2 linked regions of the Kluyveromyces lactis genome follow. The protein of the gene in region 2 interacts with the protein of the main gene of each other region in a pairwise test. Links are inferred from orthologs where the notes say so. Each region holds a gene or a part of one and is shown on either strand. Other genes may lie near its edges. The genes, in order: MAP1 and ZNG1.

Region 1 (3,245 bases), on a different chromosome or scaffold from region 2:
ATAAGATGCAAGCAATTGACTGCAATGAATATCACAACTAAATATTAGAGAGTATAGATTGATTTCGGTTCTATTAGAATCAACGTTGTGGACGAAAATGCAACAGTATCTTTCACTCTTTTGAATGTTATTCTTCTTCAACACCGAACGTTAGCCATAATTAAAAGCTTTACTTTCTCCATCAGAAAACTTAGATCACTGTTTTCGATTAATTTTTTTTCTTTGGAAGTGGCGAAAGCTAATGGTTACCCGGTTATTGAAGCAAAGCAACAATCCATGCTGTCGTGATCCTCATATTTATGCAAAGATGATGAAGATTATACTTTAGTAGGACCGCACATCTTCAGTATAATAAATACTAATAGTGGTTTTCAATGAGAATTCTCTAAATATTTTGGTCTTCTGTAAATTGATTTATATGATGATATGTATTGAATCTATTCACATGAAAGACTATGCCGAAATGATGTCCGTTATGACGACGATGATGGCTGTTTTATGGATTGTTTCCTATACGAAACGAGGTAAACAGTAACTTTCTCTATTGATATTCATTTTTTAACTATTGTCATTTCACTGGGTCTATTTTATCCTATTTCTTGGGCCGCCTGGAGACTTCTTGTTCCTTGCCGTCAAGACTTCAACACCATTCTCGGTGACCAAAAGGGTTTGCTCAAACTGAGCACTAACTTTACCATCCTTTGTTGAAGAAGTCCAATCGTCAGGCCAGGTGATATCTTGCCATACACCTTCGTTAATCATAGGTTCTATAGTGAAGACCATTCCAGGTTTCATGACACCGGGCGTTCTGTTGTTAGCATAATGTGGAATGCTGGGGGCACAGTGGAAAAACTCACCGACACCATGACCACAGTAAGTCCTAACAACAGAGCATTTGTTGGATTTGGAGTGCTTTTCAATGCAGTCTCCCAAGGATTGAAAAGTTACGCCTGGTTTACACATCTTGATGGCGAGTTTCAAACATTCACGGGCAGTTTCAACGGTATTTATGACATCCTTGGCGATAGTCTCACCAACGTAGTAAGTTTCGTTTAAATCTGCATGCATGCCTTGGTAATACAATGAGACATCTAAATTGACAATATCTCCCTCTTTTAGAACATATTTGTCAGGAACACCATGACAGATAATCTCGTTCACAGAAGTACAGACGGATTTAGGGAAATTATAGTAGTTGAGAGGAGATGGGTATGCTCCCCTCTTGATAGTCTCGTTATGCACTATCTCATCAATTTCATCCGTAGTGATACCTGGTCTAACTGCGGCGGCCGCAACATCTAGCACTTCTCTACCTAGAGCACAAGCTTTTCTGATCCTCTTAATTTGCTCCTTATTGTAGACAGGAATCTTGTTTGTTCTATCATTTCTTTGTTCGATGATGGGTAGCCCATTTTCTGCCCAATCTGGTTTCTCGATCTCATCTGGGACCTGTCTTTTTGGCGACAGAGGGTATTGAGCTTTCAGCTTGCCAGTATACTTGAATTTTGGAAACGGATCATACACCTCACCAGAACCATCTGTACCATAATGTAAAGCCTTATGCTGTTTGTACCCGTCTTTGAAACAAGATTCTCCACAAAAGACCTCTTCAATACCTTGCTTCAAGCAAATCGGGCATTTTAACATCGAATCTGTAACTTTACCACATTGTAGACTAGAACAACGGACATTAGCGATTTTTTCCTGCATTTTTTCCTCTTAGTGTCTTCCAAGATTTACAGCTGCTATGTCAGTAAGTGCAGTTCAGAAACACCTTCTATATCACTTGGAATACGTTTGGTATAAATAAGTGAGAGAGAGGAGTAGAAAGAGCTGTATCTGAGCTTCTCTCATCGCATCTCGTTCTCATGTTCTTTATTAAAGGTCGAAACAAAAAATTTTATTTGAAAAGTCAGATGAGTTTAAATGTCATACTTTTCTTTTAATTCTACAGTGCGAAGACTCCGCATTATCTATGACACATTTCTAAATATCTTAGGAACAACCTCGGTTTAGGGCGATTGAGAGAATAGTGCTTAGAAAATTTTGATTAACTGGCGGTTACTTCTGATCCTAAGTAGCTAGCTTATGAGAAGGTGTTTTCCAAAGGCATGTTTTCTTAACTTTCTCTCAAAACGCTAATGAATAATTACTATATAGAACTTTCTTGATTTTTGATTTCGTTTCTTACTATGGAAAAGTTCAAATCTTGCACAAAAAAGAGTCGAATCTTAGCTCACCTATGAAAGTGATCTGGGCCGAAGCTTTCTGGCAATAGTTCATTGAGGGTCATAATTTTTTTGACAGAGGTGTCGCAGTTTGTCATTATTATTGGCAGATCTTCTTTTCCAAACTCTCTGATCGTTTGCCGACAGATTCCACATGGCGGAATGTAATTATCTCTCATATCGCTGTTGATAGCGACACAAACCCAATCTGCTCTGTGGGAGCTTGTGACAGCTTTCACGATAGCAGCTCTTTCTGCACATATGGTGGCTCCATACGTAGCATTCTCCACATTGCTTCCTGTGATATAAGTACCATCTTTTGTCAGTATGCAACATCCGACCCTAAATTTTGAATATGGACTATAGGAACCACTTTTTGCTTTTTGACTCTCTAAAATGGCTCTATCTACCTGTGTAGGTTCAATACCGTCCAGTTTGCTCTTGATCTCCATTTTATACTGCAATGATGCGTATTCAGTAGCGAACTGGGTCCAGCGTGTATTATACGCTCGCCTCTTGGTTTCTTTATACAACGATGGCTGATATCTTCTTGTGTGAGAAATACATCGTTATCATATCGAGATTTTATATAATGAAATATGTCACTATCTGCTTGATTTCGTCTTGGCTGCTTTTACTTACAAAAAATTACCGTTGATCGCAAAGCACATATGAACTATATGTATGTAAATATAGTAAAGCTAACAGTTCCCGTTTGTCTACTGATACAGTTTTCCCGCCATATTAGATGCTCGCAGGGGTATAGTACGATGCTCTTCCTTAAGTCCTATCACGTTTTGTGTCATGCTAAACATGTACGAGGGTCCAAAAATTCTCGTCACGTGACCTGAAGTGTCAGCGCTCAAACTAAAGCGGAAGAAGAAAGAAAGAAGAAAGAAAAAAAAAACTGAAACTAGGTATAAGTCAGGAACGAGAAAAGGTGAAAGCTTGAACATAAAACAGCAGTTGTGGAAAGAGGAGAACGAGAAGCTGATTTCGCCTTACTTGACACCACTG
Region 2 (3,265 bases):
CCATTCTTTGTGGGGTTGCAAAGACATGACTAAAACATGAAAGTATGCAGCAATTCCTACGACCCTGAATGAATTTGGGCCAATCTTGAACCCTAGATGGTTCAAAAGTAGTGCAGTTGGCGGGATGAACATCATTGGAAGATACCCCGTCAAATATGCAAAGAAAGGTTGGGTACCCCATTTGGAAGATTCTCCGTGGACAACGTTGAATATAAATGCTTCGATTTCAGGAACAGTTAAACGGTTCCAGAAATAAGAATCAACTTGAATAGATAAGAAAATTCCGGCTCCAGCACCGATGAACCCGGTCCTAACAATCGATGTCAATGAGATTTTTTCATAAAAGAAGGCACCCAGAGCTACACCAACCGCCAATACAGCAATTTCTAATCTAAAAACAATAGCAGTAAAGGACAATAATATAATTGACCACCTATAGTTTTCTTCCAAAGCCCATGACAAACCTAATAGTGACAATGGTAACGCCATGACAAAATTTGGCAAAGGTCTTGAACTGTAGAACATTAAATGGAATTGAGTAGCAGTGAATAATCCAAACCAGTTAGTTAGATCAGATGCACTAATAGTATACTTTGTGGTTGATGTAGTCTCCTCCTTCCCACTTTTTTGCTCCTGATCTTTCGTTAAGGCTTTCTTCGCAGCTACAATGAATCTGTTTAACGCCACAGTGTTCGTTAAGCCGATTAAAAATCTCACCAACATCTGGGTTCTAAACGGATCTTTTGAGATAGTCAAATTGAACGGATAGGTAAGCGCTGAGAGGATTAATGGACCAACAAAACTTCTCGGAACAGCACCGGCGAAAGTGACATGGTCATAATTCGAAACGTCAAATACACCATAAGTTAAAATATCATGTACGGCCTGCAAAGTAAAACTTTCCTCAACCTTAGTATAAGGTGAATACCATAAATGTAGCGACACCGCACAAGTAAGAACTGTAGTTAGATCAAATATACCGTCCATTGTTCGATGGTTGGCTTTCTCATTTATCTTTGTTCATTGTTAAAGGGTAGAAGTTTTCAGAAATTACCTCATCTCTTACTTTTTATACCGAAAAGCTCATCACTCATGAAAAGGATTCATCATCATCATCACCAACATCGGCTAGTAAATATATAACAAATAACGAACCGTGTAAACTACTTGAAGACAAATATAATACCTCAAGTTAGTACTCCAATGTCGGCACTTAAGGATTTTAGTTTCAAAGAAGATGAAGATGGAGAACTTCCCGTTCTTGTTACTGGGAATGAACCTGATTTAAAGAAAATATTGGACACATATAAACCAGATGGTGGGAAACACATTGTGAGCGATAAAAAGATCGCTTTGGCTAATAGACAGTTGGACGAGGATTTTGATAGACAGCAGCGGATTCCTGTCACCATCATAACCGGATATCTTGGTGCTGGTAAATCAACTCTATTGGAACAAATAGCGTTAAAGGGCTCCAATAAAAGGTTAGCAGTTATATTGAACGAATTTGGGGATAGTTCAGAAATTGAAAAGTCTATTACCATCAAGAACAAGGGTGAAGTATATGAAGAATGGTTAGATTTGGGTAACGGTTGCTTATGTTGTTCTTTGAAGGATGTTGGTGTAAAAGCGATCGAAGATATGGTTGCCCGATCTCCAGGTAAAATTGATTACATTTTATTGGAAACATCGGGTATTGCAGACCCCGGACCCATAGCAAAGATGTTTTGGCAAGATAAAGGCTTGAACAGCAACGTATACATTGATGGAATTATAACTGTTCTTGATAGTGAACATATTATAACTTGTCTTGATGATATTTCTCCTACTGCCCATTGGCATGGAGAGAAAGTTACGGTTGATGATGAATCAAAAACAACCATTGCACATCTACAAATAGCTATGGCCGATGCAATCTTAGTTAACAAATCGGATAAAATTGAAGGAGATGAATCAAAGAAATATGACCTAGAAAACGTTGTTCGCTCCATCAACACAGTAGCACCGATATATTATACGAAATTCGGGGATATCAATTTGGATCTCGTATTGGATTTAAACGCATTCGAAAGTACCAAGTTTCTACAGAAAGACTACACAACTACTTTTCATGATCATAGAATATCAACGATTACTTTAGCTTTCCCCTTTTTCCAAACAGAAGATCAGCTTGATACTTTTATCAAAGATTTCCTTCAAGTCTTGTTATGGAAAGATTTTGGGGTAGATACTGGTTCAGGCTTGCAGTCAGCTCACCATGAGAATCCCGATTTCGAAGTGCACAGAACTAAGGGTGTGATAATGGTTGGAAATGAATGCAAGGTCATTCAAGGAGTGCGTGACACATATGATATAATCCCTGGTGAAAAGCTGCCTAACATTACCGAGAATAAAATTGTCCTGATCGGGAAACATTTGGATGAGAATTATATTAGGCACTTGCTTAATAAAGCAATAAGTAGTCAGAAATAATACAAGTGGTATTTAAAGTAGATATGTAACATTTGAAAGAAAGCAAAAAAAGAATATCGGTTGTATTTCGTCTACTTACTTTATTCATTCTCCATTAGTTTTGGTACTTTCCAATAAAAATATCTGAGCATATAGTTATAGTATGTTGTTGTTTTGACATGAAGTAACAAAATCTTCTCCAAAAGAGGATCATGATCTCACAGAGACAATGTTTTTAGCTCTTGGAATGATAGATCTTCTGTTGGCATAAACGGTGACCAAAGCACCAATGAACAAGAACGCGAACACAAATTTAGCATATGGGTGTTGCGAATAGTAGTAATCATTTTCCAACTCAACTTCATTCTTAGCACCCTCTTTAAGTTCCTCTTCTAAAGTAATCCCAACAGAAGTGTCACCATTTCTGAATTGTTCCACCTTCTTTATATACTCTTCGTGCATTTTCTCTATATCGGCAATCCTCAACTCTTCAGTGTAAGTGTACGTGATTGAAACGTCATTTACTGGTTTGTCCTTATCATCGGTCTCAACATGTTGCACGTATTTCATTAGATCTTCAAGACCTGAAATCACTTGGCCGAATACAACGTGTTTACCATCCAAATGTTCAAGCGGTGTTTCAGAGGTAGTAATGAAGAATTGACATGCATTTGTATTTGGGCCCGAATTGGCCATAGATAGACGACCCGGTCTGTCGTGTTTCAAATTGAAATTTTCATCGTCAAAAGCATAACCATAGATTGAGAAAGGACCCACATGTGGTAGCACATTACCACCTTGAATCATGAAACCT

The links.
Region 1: the proteins of ZNG1 (region 2) and MAP1 interact in a two-hybrid assay, tested with the Saccharomyces cerevisiae proteins (2 studies listed by BioGRID). The link is inferred for Kluyveromyces lactis from reciprocal best matches to the Saccharomyces cerevisiae genes ZNG1 and MAP1.

What each region holds. Positions count from the first base shown.
Region 1 is NC_006040.1:1,553,420-1,556,664, reverse strand, and holds MAP1 (methionine aminopeptidase MAP1), read right to left. Parts: upstream 1,711-3,245; coding exon 583-1,710; downstream 1-582. Other genes in the region: CDD1 (cytidine deaminase), read right to left, coding at 2,237-2,680. UniProt on the Saccharomyces cerevisiae protein: Cotranslationally removes the N-terminal methionine from nascent proteins. The N-terminal methionine is often cleaved when the second residue in the primary sequence is small and uncharged (Met-Ala-, Cys, Gly, Pro, Ser, Thr, or Val).
Region 2 is NC_006039.1:752,895-756,159, forward strand, and holds ZNG1 (GTP-dependent zinc transferase), read left to right. Parts: upstream 1-1,203; coding exon 1,204-2,472; downstream 2,473-3,265. Other genes in the region: ALG12 (dolichyl-P-Man:Man(7)GlcNAc(2)-PP-dolichol alpha-1,6-mannosyltransferase), read right to left, coding at 1-987; KLLA0_C08635g (uncharacterized protein), read right to left, coding at 2,662-3,265. UniProt on the Saccharomyces cerevisiae protein: Zinc chaperone that directly transfers zinc cofactor to target metalloproteins, thereby activating them.